Ovis aries: one gene and its partners. The protein of the gene in region 3 binds, or shares a complex with, the protein of the main gene of each other region. Links are inferred from orthologs where the notes say so. Each region holds a gene or a part of one and is shown on either strand. Other genes may lie near its edges. The genes, in order: HJV, RGMB, BMP2, BMPR1A and RGMA.

Region 1 (4,179 bases), on a different chromosome or scaffold from region 3:
ACTTAAAATATCTTTGCACTTCTTTTTGTCCTTAAAAGTATATACCACTTGGGATGTCACAGCCAAATTATTGTTTTTAAATCACTTGGATAGTTTGGGTGGAGTCATTGTACATTTCTGTAATAAAAACCCTTGTGATATGGCTTTATGTGATAGAGAGAAAAAAATTTTCAGATCTGTATGTATAAAAAAGAGAAGAGTACTCTGTGGACTTCTGAATTCTGAATTAAATGTAGAGCAAATTAGTGCATGTGCCTTAGTGACACTATTTGAAATCAGTCCTTGTGTTAATTTCACTTGGCAAGTACTAAGAAACGATGATCCCTGATGCCTATGGCTGCAAAAATACGTGGCTAAATTCTTTGGTTGCAATCTCTTCAAAGGTCACAAGATTATGTTACTCCACAAAAGTATCTTTCTGAATCTCTTTTTCTCTCACTTTATCTCTCCAAGTTCCTCTCCCCTTCAAAAACTTGTATCCCCATTCCTTCTTTCCCTCGTTGACTTTGTTAGCCTCCTCCCTCAGAAACTCAGAAGCTTGTGTGTTTGTGTGTATACCTGCAAAGAGGAGCTGCTATATAAATAAGGTAATGAAAATGGAGGCCGTTGGGGAATAGACAGCTGCGAGGATCTGATCTGGTAGACTGAAACACACACTCATCCTAAACCACTCAGAGCTCAGATTTCTTCTCTAGACAGCTGGCTTTTTAAGTCCTTCTGAAATACTCTACAAAGATGGGGGAGGGGCTGTGAACTACCTCTGCTATGGACCTTATTTAAAGTCAGCTATCTCCTAGATATGTTCTGAAGAAACTAAATGCAATATTCAGTATGGCAAGGATGAGGGTGCTGAGCTAAAGGTATACAACTGTCTAACTGTCTAAAGGCTAGTCTAACTAGACTAAAAAATTAGTCTAATTTTTAAAGGCCAGAGGGCTTTTAAATTATTGACAGTGCTGGAGGGCTGCTTGGAGTAGGCAGTGACTAGAATCATGTAAGCTCAAACTGGATAACTGATTTGCTGGTCATATTCCTATCCCTTCTCTGCCACTTGGCACCCTATACCCCATATTCTTTCTAATCCTCCTACCCTCTCCACCCTCCCCACCTTCTCGCCAACACTCCAACACCCTACCCCCATCAACACTCCTGGAATTTTGGACTTAGCTATTTTTAAAACAGTCAACTCAGTAGCCACCTCCCTCCCCCGCTCAGCTGTCCAGTACTCCGGCCAGCCATCTAGTCCCCCTTCCCCCCACACCAGACCTTCTCTGGTTCCCTGACCTCAGTGAGACTGCAGCCTGTCTGGGGACCTAGGGGAGACATGGAGAAAGAGACGGGGGATCCCCTGGCTGGAGCTGACTGATACAGTAGACAGTCATGGCTGGAGAATTGGATAGCAGACTAATGTTTGACCTCTGGAAACAGTAAGTCAAAATTAATTGCAATTCCTTTAAAAATCTTCTAAATTGAAGTTAGAATCTCATAAAATTATGACATAAACTTGGATGTCTCTGGTGCAAATCTAGGATCTCTTCCATACCAAGGTGCCCCAGTCTCCATTTCTCCTTCTGTCTTAAGCTTTCTGGCCTCTGGCCACTAGAAGTTTAAACCTCCATCTCTCCTCTGGGAGTCTTAGCTGGCTCCTCCTATTACCTCAAGACTTCTGATGAAGTCTCCTTCTTTAGTAGAAGTTTCCTACACCTCCTATTCTGTGGTTTTCTCACCAAGGCCAAATTTAGCTTCAGATGATTAGTCACTGATACCCTCTATCTTGTTCCTATTTATCAGTGCCCTTCACATTGGGCTTCCGAGGGTGAGGCTTACTCCTTGTTGTACATGATTTCTGCCTACAACTCTAGCCCCATCATCTTGTTCTCCTTCCTGCATGACTCTCCCTCAATCATATCCCTAACTCCAGAGAGACTAGTTTGGCAAGAGGGAGTTAGCCCCTCCCCAAGCCTTGTCCTCATCAAAAGACTGACTTCCAAACTTGCAAAGTTAAGATCGATGGAAAGGTAAGATCAATGGAAAGGGTGGTTCTTCAGTCAGATTTGAAGAAAAGTTGACTCATGAAGAAGAAATGTTGACTCATAACAAATATTGATTTGCATGCTTGGTTTGCATCCATTGTTCCATGAGACAGAGGGATAATTTTAGCTCTCTACAGTAGATGAAAGAGACTGGTTCCCTTTTCATTTGAATACTGATTCCAGAGATGGGATGTGTATCCCACCCTTACTCCTCCTTACTGAAAATTCTGACACAAAGGAGGAAAATCAATGAATGACCTCTGGAGGGTGTCCCCTCCTGATGGGGAAGGGTGAATAAGCGGTAGTCTCTGATGTATTTTCAGATCCTAATTCTGTTGGGGAGCCCACTGGTATGACTGAGATCTGATCTATCCACATGGTTCCTCTTTTTGACATTCCTGCTGTTTGATAGCTCAGAATGGGGCAATACAGTGGACTCTGCCCTCCGAGTCCACTCAACCTTTCTTCCACCCCCACCTAGGGGTATTGCATAAGGGGCCTGAAAGTGGTCACAAAAGCAGGGCACAGAGGCTCAACAGCCTCGTGTTTAGTTCAGGGAGACCCATTTCCCCTAAACTCCAGTTAGCTCATTCTTTTCTTGATCTTCCCAGATTCTCTTCACATCATTCTGAACAATCTTCAACTCTTCTCTTCCCCATGCCCAGCCACATTTCTTTTTTCAGTCCCTTACAGGACGTCCGGTCAAAATTCACTAGGTAGGAGGGTCATCAGCTGGAAAGAACCGGAACCTGGGGGGACCTGGCTGGATAGGTATGGGGGATCCAGGCCAGTCCCCTAGTCCCTGGTCCCCCCATGGCAGTCCCCCAACTCTAAGCATTCTCACTCTCCTGCTGCTCCTCTGTGGACATGGTAAGGAAGGGTTAGGTAAGGCTTTGGGGGATCTAGGGGGTAGGCTGCTATGTAGGGGTGGGCATGTGAGCTTGGGTGAATGAGATGAGATGGGTGCTGAGGGGTCCCAGTCACTCGCCCCACTCTCAAATAGGTATATTTTATTCACCATTCAACTTGGGAAAGGGCACTGGGAAAGCCCTTGATCCACAGGCGGGAGAGATCTAGCAGGGCTTACCCATCTTTAGCAAGACTGAATGAGGACAAGACTAGGAAGCTGGGGGCTGGCGGCTGGGGACTGGGAATTGGGGGAGGCTCTCAGTTGGGTTTTAGGATCCGCTGCTATCCCCCCATGAGACCTGGGAGAATTATGGTTGAGGTTGCGCGGGGATCCGGGGACCAGCTCACACTCCTCTCTCCCTTCCGCCCTCAGCTTATTCTCAATGCAAGATCCTCCGCTGCAATGCTGAGTATGTATCTTCCACTCTGAGCCTTAGAGGTGGGGGTTCACCAGGAGCCCTTCGAGGAGGAGGCCGAGGTGGAGGGGTGGGCTCCAGCGGTCTCTGCCGAGCCCTCCGCTCCTACGCGCTCTGCACTCGGCGCACAGCCCGCACCTGCCGCGGGGACCTCGCCTTCCATTCTGCTGTGCACGGCATCGAAGACCTGATGATTCAGCACAACTGCTCCCGCCAGGGCCCCACGGCCCCTCCCCCACCCCGAGGCCCCGTCTTTCCGGGCGCAGGCCCGATCCGCGCCTCTGGCTCCCCAGCCCCGGACCCCTGTGACTATGAAGGCCGGTTTTCCCGGCTGCACCGACAACCCCCAGGCTTCTTGCACTGCGCCTCCTTCGGGGACCCTCACGTGCGCACCTTCCATCACCACTTTCACACGTGCCGTGTCCAAGGAGCTTGGCCCTTGCTGGATAATGACTTCCTCTTTGTCCAGGCCACCAGCTCCCCTGTGGCACTGGGGGCCAACGCCACCACCACCCGGAAGGTCAGGGACTCAACTGCTCCTCCATGGTCACCCCAGGGTTCCACTCCCATGCCAACCCTACTAGTTTTCAGCAATGCAGCTCTATTCCCTTTCCTCCTGAACCACTCTCACATCTTGAATCACTCCCTCCTACCGAACACTTGCTCCTGTAAATCACTTTCCCTCCGTGGGAATTTCACTCCAATGCAGAAAAGAGCTGGGGAGAGGAAAGTTGAGAAGCTCTGGGTTGAGAAGTTACAGAAAGGAAACTTCCTTCTCCTATGGGAGCAGCTGAAGTTGAGCCCAAACAGGAAGGAAAGGG
Region 2 (3,732 bases), on a different chromosome or scaffold from region 3:
TTAAAAGACCTCCCGGATTTTTAACACTGCTGGTATGACTTAATAAATAAATAAAAATTAACTCTGGCACAGCTGGGTGGCATTACAGTTCAGTATTCTCCAGATCAGAGTGTGGTGATTGCTGTCCCACAAATACAGGACAAAAAGATCTCAAAGGATAACGTATCTAATGCTCTAAGTGCTCTCAAACTAAAAGATAGATTCTTTTTCAATTTGGCAATGAAAAAACTTTTTGTCTAGATATACTGCTAGGAATGGTACCTATTTGTAAAGGGCGTTCTAGATTCCCCCCCTCCCCACCCCCAGCTTTCTTGAGATATAACTGACATGTATCATTGTGTTCATGAAAAGATCTTAAAAAGAAAAACAGGCAAAACAAGCTAGAAGGCTCATCGTCGCTAAGACAAAAAGGTTTTACTTCGCTAAGAACGGATTCCTCACTGCTGCTTCCACCGGGGAAGTTCCCGAAGGCAAGAGATCGGTCACACTCTCCTGGAACGCCCCAAAACACGCGGCTAGCCACAAAGCACGAAGTTTTCCCAAACAGGAGGTGAAAGCTGAAATTAAAAGGGGCTTTCGCAAATACGAAAACGATCTCAGTTTAAAGAAGTTTTAAGTGACTTCGAGATGAACCCCCAGGTTTTCAAAAGGGTAGAATTATCTTCCCATCGGGTGCCATTTCTTCGCCTCGACGCCACCCCCAACTCCAGGGCAGCAGCAGCAACCAGGCTCCTCGTCTCCTCAGCCTAGGAGGCGGCGGCGTAAACCTGATCCCAGCCTGACTTTCAGTAAAACACCCATGCAGAGAGCAATAGAGCATCCGGAACGTTTGTCTCGGGGGGCGGGAGGCAGGGCGAAAGGCCGCTCCCGTGTGCCCTGGGCGCGCCGCTCGGTTGGCGGGTGTGTTCCTGCCGCCGCGCCGCCAGCCGGCCACGGTGCGGGTCAGGAGCTGGGGAGGCCTTTCCTGCCCCGGCCAGCGCCTTCTGCCCCCCCGGGAGTAGGGGGATAGGGGAACCCAGCCCCCCTGGCCCTACAGGCGGCTCCCCACCCCCAACCCGCGCGCGCGCCCCCCGTACCTGCATGAAGCAGCCCAAGGCTGAGCAGCAACAGCAGCAGCAGCGCCAGGGGCGGCGGGCCGAGCCCGGGGCGGCGGCGGGGGCGGCGGCGCGGCTCAGCCCCGGCGGCAGCGGCGGCGGAGGCTGGGGCGGCGGCGGCGCAGGAGGGCGATGCTGCTCTCAAGCCCATGCCCGTCCATGCAGCTCTCGTGGGCTCCGGCGAGGGCGGCGGCGCGGGGGCCGTGGCGGGTCCCGGGCCGGGGCGGCGGCATGGGCCGGAGGGAGCGCCCCGCTTCCTCTTCTTCCTCCTTCAGCCCCGCGTCGGACGCGGGCCGCCGCCGCCGCCGCCGCAGGAGCAGCAGAAGCGAGCCGGGCGCCGCGGGCGGAGCGCGTCGGCGGCGTCGGCCGCGGGGAGCGGAGGCATCGTGGCGGCCGGAGTCGGCGGGCGAGCGGGCGGAGGGCGGGAGGAGAGAGCGGAGGGCGGGGAAGGAAAAGACACAAAGACGGTGAGCGAGTGCGAAGCCCGGCCGGCAGCGCGCGCGCGGGGCGTCCCTGGTCCAGCGTGGGCTCGGCGGGCGCGGAAACGCACCGGACGGAGCCCAGAGCGGCAGCCCGCAGCCGCCGGCTGCCGCGATCACTCTGTGCCGCGGGGGCCCCCGCGCTCGATCAATCTCAGCCCCGCACTGCCGCCCCGCCCCTCCCAACGCCCCGCCAATCCACGCCGGCTCCGCCCCGCCCCTCCCCGCCCCCTCTAACTCCATTGGCCGAGAGGCGGGAGCTGTGGACCCAGTCGGCCACTCATAGGGCCCCAAGCGCCCGCCCCGCCCTCCGGCCCCACCCCTCCGGGCCCCCGCCCCCTGCTCCCAGCCTCCCCGGGGTGATTCGAGTTCCGCGTCCTGCCCGCCGCCGGTCGGGTCGGCGGCGCTGCGGCCCAGCCTCCCTATTGCTGGCTGCGGCCTCCACGCTCCCCTCCACCCTCTCCTGCAATGTACTGCCGCCCCGCGCCCAGTGGAGACGGGCGACGGCAGCTCCGTCGTTACAAAGGAGCCAGCCTTTGGCCTTTCCGAGAAGGAAAGTGATCGGGTTCAATGTCCCTCTCCGTAACGCTTTTATTTAGATCACCAGCCCCCGACCCTGTCCCTGCCCTACAGCCCTGGCTCCTCGGAGGAAACGGGCGCCTTTATGCTTAGCGCCCGGCGGCAGGTCCCTTCGACGCCAATCGCATCTGCTGAGCCGCGTTCTGAGCCCGCTGCGGACTTTTTTTTTTTTTTTAAGTAAGTTCCGTTCAGTTCAGTCGCTCAGTCGTGTCCGACTCTTTGCGACCCCGTGGACCGCAGCACGCCAGGCTTCCCTGTCAATCACCAGCTCCCGGAGTTTACTCAAACCCATGTCCATTGAGTCGGTGATGCCATCCAACCATCTCATCCTGTGTCGGCCCCTTCTTCTCCCACCTTCAATCTTTCCCAGCATCAGGGTGTTTTCAAATGAGCCTTTTTTTTTTTTTTTTTCCAGTAAAGCCACCGCCTTCTGAGCCCATTCGGGACTTTTGGTAAAGCCAGTCGCGTTGGAAATGCGAATGTGACCCGTGGTCCGGAACGAATCGGATGGCCTGGGAAGGTAGCCACCAGCTCCCTGGTGGAGTTCGCGGGCAGCTGGTGTTCCCGTCACTCTGACATTTTTCCCTTCCTGAAAGCAGTTGGGGAGGGGGTTCTGAGAGTAGGGAGGACGTCCACGTGTTCTGTTATACTGTAGTTAGATTCATGAGGATAGTGAGTTTTATTGCAGTGTAATTTTATACCATGATCTGTTGTTGCTCCGTGGCTTTTCCACAAATGTTCATCGTCTATTAGCAAATTAATTCAATAGCAGGTCCGTTTCTACTTTTGCGATGGAATGGTTGCAAAAATGAGAGGGAAACCAATTGCTGGCGGGAAAGGAGACTTCCAGAGATACAGGAAAGCATGTTTTATGAGGTCGATGATAGGTTCCAATTTGTTATCAGCAAGTGTGAAGTGGTATCTAATCTCAAGAATGGCCTCAAAGGCCAGGAGCCACTTCATACTGTCCTCGTCTTTGCCTTTCTCCAACACTCCAGCGTTCTTGCCTGGAGAATCCCCTGGACAGGGCTACCGTCCGTAGGGTCGCAAAGAGTCCGACATGACTGAGCGACTTGGCACAGCACAGCAGCACCGCAAACGGCAATGGGCTGCCATTTTAAATGAACTTATATCCAAGTCGCAGTCTGCAACTCTGCTTGCTACATTACTCACAATCCCTAATTTAGGAATTTTCGTATCAACCACGGACATGTTAGTATTCCACATGTTAAAAAGTGCCAGTCAATGGACCAGGATAATTGAGGGCAAGCCCTCCATCACTCCAGCTTCCTCATTACACACCTTCTGAATTATACAAACCACTAGCTCCCTAATGAAGGATGCCTATCTATTTTTACTGCAACTTTTCATTACTTACTTATTACATACTATGATGACTCAAGTGGTAAACATACCTTTCACTGCCCACGATATAACCCAAGTCTTGTGTGTATCCATAATATGCTTAATAGTAGCTTCAGAGTTGCCCGGAGAAATGACTTTTTGGGGGGAGTTATGGGATATGATTTTTAGGTGATACTGTGAAGTAAATACTGTTAAGCCCCAAATTGATTTTCTTG
Region 3 (4,327 bases):
TCAGAGTGGCAATCAGCTTTCATAGAGTTTCATTTTCAGGGGAAAATAAAAAAGCACCATGTTCCTGAATATTTTGTACCCCCCCCCCCCTCATTTATTTTCCTGGTAGGCAGGCTTCCTCAGAAATACCTTATTTGACCTTTATACTTTCAGAAACAGCTAGGGCCTAATTCCCCCTCTGTGGGTTGCTAATCCGATTTACGTGAGCGGAACCTACAATTATTTTAGCTTCCCAACTGAAAAAATAATACACATGGATAATAGATTGCTATGAGCTCTTGCTTCAGACTTTTTCTGCTCTACAGGCTGAAGGTTCTGTGCAGGCGAGCTTGATTTTGTCCATCTGGCCTTTTCCAAAACTTTTCTGCTTTTGGCTTTTGGGATTGTTTGGGTAAACTGGTTGAGCGATGGATGGGCGATCCTGGGATACTGGAAAGGACAGAAAGCCTTGGCTTTGGGGCTTGTGGTACAGCAGATTTGGGGACTGTCTCAGCTGAGGAAAACAAGTCACTTGACCACATGTCACAGACCTGCCGCTGGGATCTGGTGGAAGTGGGTGGGGCAGAAGGTTCTAAGGTCTCAGACCAGAGCTGTTCCGTCCCCTCGGCTCACACTGTGCCATTATTTTACCTTCCTCTGCAGTTGCTAATGGCCTGCCCCTGAGCTAGGAGAGATAAATATAAGGCATGAAGTGATTTCTACAGTAAAAAGAAAAAATCCCTCTCATCCTCTCTTCATACACACACACACACACTCTCCATGTTGCTCATGTCACGAATAGCAGAAAGAAATCCATTTCACACAGACAAAGTTATAGAAACATGTGCTTTGGTAGCACAAAGTTACGTATACGGATATATTTATAGACACACACGTGTATATTTGTGTATTACACATATATTTATTGGAATAAAAGAGCGCATTTATATAAATAAATTTACATATGTGAATGCATATGTCTGTGAATGCTAAAGTGTAAGTTACACGCAAATCCAATCTCTAGTTTTCTTTTAATTCTCCTCTCACCTCGGTTAAAACACAGAAGAGTGTACCCCACGCCTATGCCAAGATGCTTTGAAACTTGGTTGAGTTCTTCTCTAATCGTCTATTACGGAGTATCTTCAAACTGAAAGCTAAATAACGGGCCAGGAGGGGAAATAAGGTCCGACCTGGCATTCGTCGGGATTTCGTCCTGGTAGTCCCAGCCAGGGCCAGGCGCTCCGACGGATCTCCCCTTTGAGGGCAGGGGCTGGAGGCACGAGCGCCCCCCCGGCGGCCGCGGATCCCCGCCCTCGGCCCCACCCCACCGCGGCTGCCCCGGCTGCCCGGCTAGCCGTCCACACCCCTGCACACTGCTCCCGCCCGCTCGGGGATCCCCGGCGAGCCGCGCCACCGAGGGGGAGGGTGTTCGGCCTGGGCCGGGAGGGAGACGGCAGGCGGCGTCCCCTTTAAAAGCCGCGAGCGCCGCGCCACGGCGCCGCCACCGCCGCCGTCGCCGCCAGAGTCCTCGCCCCGCCGCGCCGCGCTGCGCCCGGCTCGCGCTGCGCCCGCCGCTCTTCTTCCCACACCCTACCCGAGATTGGCAGCTGCCGCCAGACATCAGCCGCCGCAGGCTCCGCCGCCCACCGAACTAGCTCGGGGCGAGCGCCTCGCGGATTACTGGGGACTCAGAGGCACCCGAGCCCGCAGACCCCGCGCGGGTTAGAGCGCCCGGCAGTGCGCGCCGCTGCGCCGTGGCCTCGGCTGACCGGGCCGCGCCGGAGCCGAAGACCGGCGCGCTGAGCCCGAGCGCCGCGATGCCGACCACCTCCCACCGGAGCTCGGGGACCTGGAACGCGCCGACCGAGGTGTGATCGGACCCCAGGCTGGCCACAAAGGGTACAGTGGCTTGGCCTGGGGGCGAAGAGACCGAGGAGAGAGTGCAGCCACCCGCCTCGGCGGCCCGATACTCGGCTCGACTCGCCGGAGAATGTGCCCGAGGACGCCGGAGCGCCGGAGCCGCGGTGGTTTCAACTGGCTAGCGCTAATGGGGGTGCGCTGGAGGAAGGCAGAGTGATGCGGGGGGGCAACTCGCCTGGCACGGAGATCGCCGCTGCGCCCTTCCCCGGACCCGGCGTCGCCCAGGATGGCTGGCCCGAGCCATGGGCCGCGGCGGAGTTAGCGCCGAGCGCCCAACCCTCGTCCCGAGAGTCCCGGAGCCGGCCCGGCGCGGGGCCACGCGTCCCGCGGGCGCTGGTTCCTAAGGACGACGACAGCACCAGCTTTTCCTTTCTCCCTTCCCTTCCCTGCTCTGCACTCCTCCCCCTGCCCGCTGTTGTTGTGTGTCAGCACTTGGCTGGAGACTTCTTGAACTTGCAGGGAAAATAACTTGCGCTCTCCACTTCGCCCCGGTGCCTCTGCCCCAGCGGACCAGCCTCACCGCCTGCGAACCCCGCCGCCCCTGCCACTTCTCCGCCGGGCCCTACCCGAGACGCCGTTCCCTGCGTGCTGGGAGGGACTGCCTGGCCGGCACCCGGGAGAAGGAAGAGGCGAAGGAAGGGAACCCGGTCCCCGCGCCAGGTCCTTCAGCCAGAGCTTTTTCCATGTGGAGACTCTTTCAATGGACGTGTCCCCGCGTGCTTCTTAGACGGTCTGCGGTCTCCTAAAGGTGACAACGTGGGCCGGGGCTGGGGGTGGGCGCGGGTCTCCCGCGGCCGCAGCAGCTGAGCCCCTCCCGGGGCCAGGCCTGGCGGGACGTAAACAGAACAGGTCCACGTGCACCGAGCCGCTGAGGGGATACCCACATCCTACCGCCCCTGGCGACCTTAGGCTTTGCCCTCCTGGCTCGCACTCTTCCGCCCCTCCTCCCTCCCTCTCTTCGGGATTTTATTAGGGCTGTTAACACATGGATGATTTTTTTTTTTTTTTTTAAGTCAAAGAAGTCCCTTCTAGAGGGTGGCCCGTGGATTTCACCCGTTAGCTGCCAACCTATACGTCCTGCCGTTTTAACTTCAAGTTTCTCCCGGAGAACTCTCTCTACTCAGAGCCGCGTCCCATTTAGGAAAATATTATACGCTGGGATTCTCTCGGGTTTTTGTTGTTGTTGTTGTTTTGTTTTCTTTTTTACCAGGAATGCAAGGGGGGGCAGTTATTTCGTGCCACCTTGAACTGACACGTGAATTAATAGATATTAGCCATCTACCTAATAGGAAGATACTTGTGTATATTTACTGCATAGGAGGGGGCGAGGGGAGGGGGGATGGAGTAGCCTGCCCTGACATTTCTGAGGTTAGGTTCGGGTCACAGGTTGCGAGTGATTTCGGAAGTTGTGTCCTTGAGTTTACTGGCTCTGGAAGTTACAGACCCTGTGTGTATCAGGAAGTTCTATACAGTGCCTGTAAGGAAGTCACATGCACCATTTGTGAGTGTTTATATGCAAGTGAGCGCTGTGTGTTTGGGTTAGGTTAGGGTACGGAGGAATGTGAGACTAAGCGGTGGTTTTCCCAGGTTCCCTATACAGTTGTCAGCGTGAGTGTCGCAGGAAAAAAAAAAAAAAAAGTGACAGTCACTGACGCAGCGTGGGGTGGGGTGGGGTTGGGTGGGGTGGGGGGCAAATCTTGACGGGTTGAGAATGGGATGGGAGCGGGGAAAACCCATCTGGCTCAGGAACTAGGTGTTTTTCCATTCTCCCAAACGTTTGAGCTTCAGCTCCTCTTAAGTATCCCCGCGAGTGTTGTCAGCCAGGTGGGCACCCTGGAGGAGGAGGCAAATGGACGGAGCGGGAGCCCGCGGGGGCGGAAGGGGTGAGGGCTGGGCGGGAAACTCCGTGACTAATGTCGGCCCTGTCCGCAGGTCGACCATGGTGGCCGGGACCCGCTGTCTTCTAGCGTTGCTGCTTCCCCAGGTCCTCCTGGGCGGCGCGGCCGGCCTCATTCCCGAGCTGGGCCGGAGGAAGTTCGCGGCGTCTGCTGGCCGCTCCTCATCCCAGCCTTCGGACGAAGTCCTGAGCGAGTTCGAGTTGCGGCTGCTCAGCATGTTCGGCCTGAAGCAGAGACCCACCCCCAGCAGGGACGCCGTGGTGCCCCCCTACATGCTGGACTTGTACCGCCAGCACTCGGGCCAACCCGGTGCGCCCGCCCCGGACCACCGGCTGGAGAGGGCAGCCAGCCTCGCCAACACAGTGCGCAGCTTTCACCACGAAGGTGAGGCGCGGGGCCGGAGCTTGGGGGCGGAGACGGGGGCGGGGAGTCGTACGGCAAAGCGCCCCGCCGTGGGCAGACTGCAGGCATCCCTGGCAGGGCAGCTTGGCCCGGGCGCTGCAGACATTTCCCTGTTTGTAAGAACCTTT
Region 4 (3,732 bases), on a different chromosome or scaffold from region 3:
ATTCAGTAAATGGATTTGGGAGTAGATAGCAATGGCACCCCTCTCCAGTACTCTTGCCTGGAGAATCCCAGGGATGGGGGAGCCTGGTGGGCTGCCATCTATGGGGTCGCACAGAGTCGGACACGACTGAAGTGACTCAGCAGCAGCTGAGAAAAATGGAGAAAAATGAAGCTGAGTCAGTTTTGTACATTGAAATAAGTTTTAGCCAGATTTAGCCATGTAGATATATAATTCATGTATATATACATATATATTTACATATATAAAGTGAAATGCTTAAATACTAGAACAAACCTTGGAATAGTTTTTAAAAATAATCTGAATCTGACACAAAACTTACTAGCCAAAAAAAACCACAAAACACCTTAAAATTAAAAAAGGAAAGATTGATGGTGTCAACTACATAAAAATAAAACTTTACTATGTGGTAGAAACCACTATAAATAGTCAGAAGACAGTCTAACAGTGAAAAATATCCCCTGCTTATATTACAAAGAGCTAATTTCTTAAATATAAAGAGCTTCTATAAATCGAAAATAAAAAAAATCAATTCAGTAATTACCAAAAAATGAACTTATGGTTTGTTTAAATAGAAATACATATGGCTCTTAAAAGAAAAAGATGACTCAAGAATACTCAAAATATGAAAAATATGTTAAAATCATACTGAGGTTTTATTTTTTACCTGTTATACTGGCAGAGATTCACATGTTTGATAGTAGGTCTTTTAGATAGAGCATCCTTTTCTACTTTTGTTGCTTCCACTAAAATGGCAATAAAGAGTTTTAAAATGTTTTGTTCAGCCAGAACAGGGAGACAAGATGACAGCAAAAAGCTGTGGAATCTGGGAAACTTATGGATGAGTATAGACCTAGAAAATCTGAATCCCAGGCTAGAAATTGAGAAAGACAAACAGCAACCGATTTGTACTACAAAATTCCCCCAAGAAGTTCACGAATTGGCAGTACTAGCCACCTCTGGAAGTTAAGCCGAGGGTGGCAGGGAAACTGAGAGGGTGGCCTGAAAGTCTGTTTTTAGAAGGTCAGGTGCTGTGTTGGTTGTGCAATCCTGTGTTAAGAAATCACTCCCAGATTTAGTGATCTGAAACAGTGGCTATTACCGCTCACCATTTCTGTGGGTCAGGACTTCAGGAGTGACCTGCCTGGGCAGCTCGGGATCTTTCGTGACCTTCAGGAAGATGTCAGCAGATGCTGGACTCACCTGGAAGCTTGGCTGGAACTGGTAGATCCTCTTCCAAGGCAGCTCACTTCCAGGGCTCACTTCCAGGGAGATCTTAGTCCCTCCGATATGAACCTCTCTACGGAGCGGCCTGCATGAGCTTACTCACAGCAGGAAGCCTGGCTTCCCGTGCAGAGTGAATGGTCCAGAGACCAAGGTGAAAGATGGGCGCTGTATGTGATCTAGACTCAGAAGTCACACCATCTCTTCTGCCATCCATATCTTACTGGTCACCCAGGTCAGCCCTGGTGCTTTCTGGAAGGGAATTAAACAAGGACAGGTGTACCAGGAGGTGAGAAATTTTGTGGGCCATTTTGGTTGCCAGATAACCACTGATGTTGAGATCCCTGTTCTTATTCTGAATGATCATGTGACTTTGATCCTGAGCAAAAGGCTAGAAGTGTTGTCTCGGGGAAAGAGCAAAAATGTTCCCATCTATGGTGTCCCGTTACTGAGGGTGAGATAAATGGTATAGTGAAAATAAGGAGGTAAAGTGAATATTTACATACTAATTTGTGGGCCCCTCAGCCGTCCAGAACCGTGCTAGCCAAGCTTGTTCCCTCTAGATAATGTATAAGAAGATTATTCTTAGGGAACAACCATCTGGCCCAAGAAAAAAAGACCTAAATATTCTGCCTCCAGTAAGCCCAGTGAAATGGCCCCAGCAGATTATCAGAGTGAAACCTGTAATCAGTAAGCCCCATTCACGTATTAAGAGCTGCCGGTCAGGCCGTGAAGGACACTGACCCCTGAGAAACAGGAAGCAGATGAGGTGAGTCTTGCTATTGCCCAGCTTACTCCCTGAGAAGAGTTCCTGACTGCGGGACACAGGAATGACTCACGCAGAACCCAGCAGGCACTCTGAGTCGAGGAGATACAGCTGAGAGTCTGAGGAGAGAGCAGCAGCTATGGTTCATAGGTGCAGAGTGCTGGAAAGGAGAGAGTTTTCATAGAGGAAGAACTCTGTGGACGTCTTCAGAATGGCCCCATAGAATATTCAGCTGATCTTAGTCAGTGATTTCAAGTGAGCAAACCCCCAAGGCTGAGAAAGACTGCCTGAAAAGGTCAAAGGATCGATATTCAGTGCTCACACAAGGCCGTGAACAGTGTCTCTTCCCACCAGCTATGTGACCTGAAAACCTCACAATTCACGGGGCTCTGTTTATAGCACTCAGAAGGGTCTTGCCTCAGCATTGGAGAATAATTAGTCAGCTGTCTGACTTGGGGCAAATGGTGAGCCCTGGGCCTATGGTTTCCTCTTTTGTAAAAAGGAAACACTACAACTTATCTCTTAGGAGTTTAATAAAGTTGAAGTAAGTCACAGAACAGTGCCTGACACACTGAACATCAATAGAAATGAGCTGTTTTTTTTTTTAACATGTATCAACATGGATAAATAGGTAATACATAAGAAATTTCTTATACAAGATGTAAAATATTAATACAACATATGCCATTTATAGAAATTAGTATCCAGAGAAAAAAATTTGTGTGTGAATATATACTTTTTATGGTAAAGGTATAAATACATAAATAGGAAGGCTATAGCCACCTTCAAGACAGTGTTTGTCTCTTAGGATTAAAAGAAGAAAATGAAATTATGAGGGAAATTTCAAATATTTTAATGTTTATTTAAAATATATCAAAAAATTATAGCTTAATATTTATTAAATTTAAATGGTTTACACATGGGTGCTAATTAAATTAATCTCTACTGTTTAAATGTTTGAAACATCTCATAATTTAAAGTTTTTTTCAAAAACCTTTAAAAATATCAGAATGAACTTGTTTGACTTCTCTTCCGTAAACTCCTTTTCCCTTTTTAAAAATGGTAGTATATTTATTGTTCATTATGATGTAAAACTACGTTTATGAATTCAAATGAAAAAACATATGTAAAGCAAAGAATGGATATTCTTACATCCCCAGCAATAACTATTATTTACAACTGCTATATATCCTTTCTGATCCTTTCAGAGAAGTATAGATGCATATAATTCTAAACTGTTTATAGTGAGGGTGAGACTTTACATGCTGGTTTTTAATCGGTTTTTTTCACTTGCCAACGTACCATGGACATCTTTCCATTTTAAGGTAGTAAATAGCTCTCTATTTCAGAAACTCCATCTTTGGACATTATTTTAACAGAGAATATATTATTCTATGATAAGACTAATTTGGTTATGAACCCATGTGATGAAGGAATGATGATAATGTCAACAGTCTCGAGATTTTTCTTACCTTAGAATTTTATTGTTTTAGAATTTTAATATAGTTATCTTCTGCTCTTTTAAAATAAAAGACATTATTGCAAGAGCATCTCAAGCAGACGCCGTTACAATCGTGATCTGGAACAAGATGAAGCATTTATTCCAGTTGGAGAATCATTAAAAGACCTTATTGACCAGTCACAGAGTTCTGGTAGTGGATCTGGACTACCCTTATTGGTAAGCTGGAATGTCATGTGAGCATGAACGGTGTACTGATGCAGAA
Region 5 (4,300 bases), on a different chromosome or scaffold from region 3:
ACCTCTCTAAGGCATCAGTTTTGGGAGGCGGAAACGCCAGCACCTCTTCCTGACCGCTTCCCTGGAAGCAGCGAGCATCACTGTGAGACTTGAAAGCCGGCCGCCCTGTCCCTGTGTTAGGAACGCTCTGTGCCTAATCATTTTGTTTCGCATCTCCTCACCTAAGGACTCCTCTATCTGGCCCCCATGGGCTGGTTTAAAAGCCAAGTCAAGGGGCGTGTGAGCTAGGGGCTTCTCATCCTCCACTGTTTATTATTACACACACTGGGGAAGGATGGAATCAGGCCTCAGAGAGGCTTGGAAGGAGAGAAAGCAGACAGAGGTTTCCTAGCGAAGGTCACAGAAGCCCTCTTTGAATAAGATGCCGGATTACGGCAAGACCCTTTTTGTCCTAAATCTAGTTATTAACTAAACACCTGCAAAGGGGGACACAGTTTGCAATAGCGTGGGGAGTGAGCGGAGAAGCCGCCTCTCATTTGGAATGTCTGTTCAGAGCATAAGTGCCTGTCTACCGCCTGAGAGGTAAAGGATGGGAGCAGGGTTATTGAAAAAAGGATGCTGGGGACCTCCCTCACCATCACCAGAGCTCAGATGCTCTCAAGGGGGGCAAGGACCCTCCCCACAAGAAGAGCACCACACTGCTCTATAAGGAACCGGCTGACCCTTCAGAACAGGGAGAGTCCAGCTCATTGCTAATATCATCTGGCCTGGAAGGTGGCAGCAAAAACCAGGCTCCGAGAGGCCGTGGAGCCCGCCTGGCTGTGTGGGTGCCCCACCCACAGCCTTTGTCCGCTCTGTTTGCCATCCAACAAAGTCTGCCCCAGTTGCTAATTGGGGATCACGTCTCTTATAAAGGAGGCCTGCTTGTTGCCTGCCCTGGGAGTGGAACAGCAGGAAGTCTCTGCACAAAAAAAAAAAAAAAAAAAAAAGCCATTTTTGTATATTATACCTCTCCTGGATGGATTTGTGCCAGACTCTTTTCCAGTTCTCCTTCAGCTGCCCTCCAGAGCACAGCCCATCTCTTTTCTAGGGGGTCAGGGCTCAAGACTCCCCTGACAAATCCCTCGTGTCTGTGATGCACAGGAAAAGGTCACCTTCCATGCACAGGTTGTGCCAATTTCTGGACGCGTGTCCAGAGAACAGGCGCAAGCTCACCGCTGGTAACATTCTAGGTCATGTTTGTGCTGTGTGTGCTCAGTGGCCAAGTCACGTCCCCGCTTTGCGACCCCACGTACTCTAGCCCGCCAGGCTCCTCCGTCCATGCAGTTGTCCAGGCAAGAATACTGGAGTGGTTGCCATTTCCTCCTCCAGGGGATCTTCCCCACCCAGGGATGGAACTCACGTCTCCTGCGTCTCCAGCATTGGCAGATGGATTCTTTACTATTGAGATACCCGGGAAGCCCTATGCTTGTGAGAGAGGACCCTAAAGCCAGAGGAGAAGGTGACGGATCTTCTCCAGGTGAAAGCCTGCCACTCAGTGCGACCTGCGATTCTGACCCATAAGCTGGGCGCGCGGAGCTCTGTCGTCGCTGCGCTTCAGCTCAGCCGGAAGGTAAATAAATACAGCGGGGAAAACTCGTCCCTGAGTTACCTCCTGCCTCCCAGAGAGACGCCCACTTTGAGTCTCCCACTTTGAGAACATCCAACTTCGAGGCCTAAAAGAAACGCGCGGCTCATCATTTCCGCTAGATGGCGCGATGTCCCCTAATCCATCCGCAAGACACCCGATTTATAAAAATAAATACAGTCCGACGCCTTCCGAAACCACATCACATAATAGCAGCTCTCAGGCTCCCATCAGGGAAAAAAAAAAAAAAGAAAAGAAAAGAAAAAAAAATCTAAATCTGGGGGAATTGACTCTACGTCCGAGCAAATCCAACGCAATCGCATTAACAGGCTGCAGTCAAGAATTGCACAGGCCCCCTCATCGGCCCTCCCCCTGGGTACACCTGTTTCCCTGCCCCGGTGCTTCCCCTGGGATGGGCCACGGCTCGAACCACGCGCGGAGCCTTCTCTGCTCGGAGCTCGCCGGGTCCACCTGTCCGCTTAGGACCACCAGGGCCCCCCGGGATCCTACCCCTTAAGCACTCAGCCCAAGCCCCTCATCTTCCTGCGCACCTGCCCTTCCAGGCAAGGGACAGCTCGGACCCGAGCCCACACGGAGCGCAGCGTCTACGGCCCCGGGGCCGGCGCTCGAGCCGCGGCTCTAACTAGGTAGCCTGGCGCAGGGCAGGGGGACGCGGCTCGGGCGAGTCCGGCCGGTGAAAGCTCACGGCGGGACGGCCGGGTGGCCCGCTCGGTCCCAGGCCCCGCGGGCCGATCGGAAGGGCCGCCCGAGGAGGAGGTGGCCGCGCGGGAGAAACGGAGCTCCCAGCACGCGCAAGTGGTACAGACGGTCGCCGGGTGTGCCCAACCGCGCGCGCTGCGGGCAGCCGGGGGAGAGCATTTTAGGGGAAAAAAAAGAACAAATACCAAACCACAAAAACTTTACTGCTGCCAAGAGCTCAAGCGATCGAGGCGCAGCAAAGCTCCAAATCTGGGCAAGATGAAAGCAAGATGAGGCGCTGGGTGGTTTGGCGGGGGGGTACCAAAGCGGTGCGGTGGCCCGGGCAAGTGGCGGCGGCGGCGCCTCGGGGCTGTCAGAGCCGGGTCGGTCAGGCTCCCGGCGCGCGCTTACCTTGGCGGCTGCATGAGCCCCTGCAGCCCGCGGGGGGTGGCGCTGGCCGGGCGGCGGGAGAAGAGGGGGTGCCTGGGCGCCGCTCTCGGCCTCGGGGCAAGGTGGGAGGGGCTCGGCAGGCGCTGGTCCCCGCCACCCCGGCCGGCTCAGCAGCGGCCCGGGGCGCGCCGCTTGCTCCCGGGCTGCATGCCTGCGAGCGCCTGGAGGAGCCGGCCCGAGAGCGAACGGCGAGTGCTTCCCCAGCCCAGAGGCTCGGAGGCGCAGCCGGCGCTCGGGAGACGACTGCCGAGTCGGGCTGCTCGGGCCAGCCCCCTCCCTCGCCCGGCCCCCGCCCGCCGCCGCCGCCGAGCGCTCGGCGTCGCGAGGTTCGTTTGCGCGCGGAGGGGAGGGGGCGGGCCGGGCGCCCGGGGCGCGGGCGGGGGGCGAGGCGGGCGGGGCCCGCGGGGAGGGGGGCGGGAGAGGAGGCGGCGGTGCGGACTCGGATTGCCCTGCCCTCCGCGGCCGCACCTTCCCGCATCAGCACCGGTTGAGGGGTGGGCTGGGAGTGCGCACGCTGCAAATCGAGACTTCCCTAAACCGCGCCCGGGTCAGGGGGGCGCGGGGGACAAGTGCGGCGACCCTCGAGGCGCCTCCAACTTTCCTAATGTCCCGCTGGGATGCCCTGGAGAGCACGTTTCCATCATCCTTTCCAAGGTGGTCCAAGGGTCAGGGACCGGGGCGGGGTCGGGAGCAGTTGCTCTGAGGTTTCTGGAATAGACCTTCGCTTCCAGGAGAAACGCCGCTGCTTTCTCCAGAGACACACGTTAGTTGCAGACTGAGATGTTTGTTTTAAGACTCTTCTGTTGGAAAACTAACACACGTATGTTAAATGTGTAGTGCACGAATACGTTGCTGCGTACAAAGCTGAGCCATATCTAGAGAATAAAGACGACCGCGCCACGTCCCCTCCACCTTGCAGCCGCTCCCCAGCGGTCACCTCGGGTCGGGTGTGCTCCGCTGCGGGTCTTTCTACTCCTTGCTCTGCCCTTTTACCCGCACACGCGCGGATTGCAAGTGGATTCTCACGGGCTTTTCAAAAGAAATGTTTTACCGCGCGGCGCACGCACACACTGGCGAGAACACGGCCACTTGAGCTGTGATAAATTCCCCAGAGGCGTGCAGAATCCGGAGAAAGATCTGGATCCCTGCAGCGACACACAAGGAGCCACCCCATCGCCCCGCAAAATCTGAAACTGCAGCTGGGCCCTGAAGTCAGCCTGAGCACACAGCTCACGCCCCTGTTAGCGTTGCGCGGCTGGAGAAATTGGCCAGCGCATTTCAGACGGGGTGATGCCCTTGGCGTTTTTGTTGTTTTTTTTTTTAACAGAAAACAAGCTGTCTTTGGATTTGGATGTGATGAGACCTCTGGATTTGCAAAATAAAAAGGTATTATCTACATTAAAACGTGATCGTTGTTTATGCTTGTGGTCCTGAGGGATGTGGTTTGAACTCTACATTCTGTGTTTTACTGGCATTGAGACAGTCTATAGCTGGGATATAAATAAAATCCATGTGATTTAGCAGGAAGAGATTGGGTATTGGGATCGCTGGTTTCTATAATTAGCTCTGACCTTGGGCAAGAGT

The links.
Region 1: the proteins of BMP2 (region 3) and HJV are in contact, whole or in part, in a crystal structure (PDB 4UI1), measured with the Homo sapiens proteins. The link is inferred for Ovis aries from reciprocal best matches to the Homo sapiens genes BMP2 and HJV. Residues at the interface, in NP_001191.1 of Homo sapiens: Phe331, Pro332, Ala334, Asp335, Leu337, Asn341, Ile344, Val345, Leu348, Ser351, Val352; in NP_001366281.1 of Homo sapiens: Leu40, Asn43, Tyr46, Val47, Tyr86, Leu101, Ala102, Ser105, Ala106, His108, Gly109, Ile110, Asp112, Leu113.
Region 2: the proteins of BMP2 (region 3) and RGMB are in contact, whole or in part, in a crystal structure (PDB 4UI2), measured with the Homo sapiens proteins. The link is inferred for Ovis aries from reciprocal best matches to the Homo sapiens genes BMP2 and RGMB. Residues at the interface, in NP_001191.1 of Homo sapiens: Val308, Gly309, Trp310, Trp313, Met371, Tyr373, Leu374, Asp375, Glu376, Tyr385, Met388; in NP_001353437.1 of Homo sapiens: Lys97, Arg100, Gly101, Leu103, His106, Ser107, Leu110.
Region 4: the proteins of BMP2 (region 3) and BMPR1A are in contact, whole or in part, in a crystal structure (PDB 2QJ9), measured with the Homo sapiens proteins. The link is inferred for Ovis aries from reciprocal best matches to the Homo sapiens genes BMP2 and BMPR1A. Residues at the interface, in NP_001191.1 of Homo sapiens: Lys297, Pro330, Phe331, Pro332, Leu333, Ala334, Asp335, His336, Ser339, Asn341, Ile344, Val345, Leu348, Asn350, Ser351, Val352, Asn353, Ser354; in NP_001393490.1 of Homo sapiens: His66, Cys67, Pro68, Asp69, Ile77, Thr78, Asn79, Phe83, Ile85, Cys100, Met101, Lys102, Glu104, Gly105, Phe108, Gln109, Asp112, Arg120, Ile122.
Region 5: the proteins of BMP2 (region 3) and RGMA are in contact, whole or in part, in a crystal structure (PDB 4UHY), measured with the Homo sapiens proteins. The link is inferred for Ovis aries from reciprocal best matches to the Homo sapiens genes BMP2 and RGMA. Residues at the interface, in NP_001191.1 of Homo sapiens: Val308, Gly309, Trp310, Asp312, Trp313, Met371, Tyr373, Leu374, Asp375, Glu376, Lys383, Tyr385, Met388; in NP_064596.2 of Homo sapiens: Arg91, Arg94, Gly95, Leu97, His100, Ser101, His104.

The regions. Positions count from the first base shown.
Region 1 is NC_056054.1:99,328,235-99,332,413, reverse strand, and holds the start of HJV (hemojuvelin), read left to right. Parts: upstream 1-1,296; 5' UTR 1,297-1,427; intron 1,428-2,698; 5' UTR 2,699-2,806; coding exon 2,807-2,903; intron 2,904-3,315; coding exon 3,316-3,878; intron 3,879-4,179. UniProt on the Homo sapiens protein: Acts as a bone morphogenetic protein (BMP) coreceptor. Through enhancement of BMP signaling regulates hepcidin (HAMP) expression and regulates iron homeostasis.
Region 2 is NC_056058.1:95,599,794-95,603,525, reverse strand, and holds part of RGMB (repulsive guidance molecule B), read right to left. Parts: intron 1,364-3,732; coding exon 1,077-1,363; intron 1-1,076. UniProt on the Homo sapiens protein: Member of the repulsive guidance molecule (RGM) family that contributes to the patterning of the developing nervous system. Acts as a bone morphogenetic protein (BMP) coreceptor that potentiates BMP signaling. Promotes neuronal adhesion.
Region 3 is NC_056066.1:48,875,814-48,880,140, forward strand, and holds the start of BMP2 (bone morphogenetic protein 2), read left to right. Parts: upstream 1-1,500; 5' UTR 1,501-2,647; intron 2,648-3,831; 5' UTR 3,832-3,838; coding exon 3,839-4,181; intron 4,182-4,327. UniProt on the Homo sapiens protein: Growth factor of the TGF-beta superfamily that plays essential roles in many developmental processes, including cardiogenesis, neurogenesis, and osteogenesis. Induces cartilage and bone formation.
Region 4 is NC_056078.1:40,560,210-40,563,941, forward strand, and holds part of BMPR1A (bone morphogenetic protein receptor type-1A precursor), read left to right. Parts: intron 1-3,541; coding exon 3,542-3,686; intron 3,687-3,732. UniProt on the Homo sapiens protein: On ligand binding, forms a receptor complex consisting of two type II and two type I transmembrane serine/threonine kinases.
Region 5 is NC_056071.1:13,390,494-13,394,793, reverse strand, and holds the start of RGMA (repulsive guidance molecule A), read right to left. Parts: upstream 2,962-4,300; 5' UTR 2,692-2,961; coding exon 2,678-2,691; intron 1-2,677.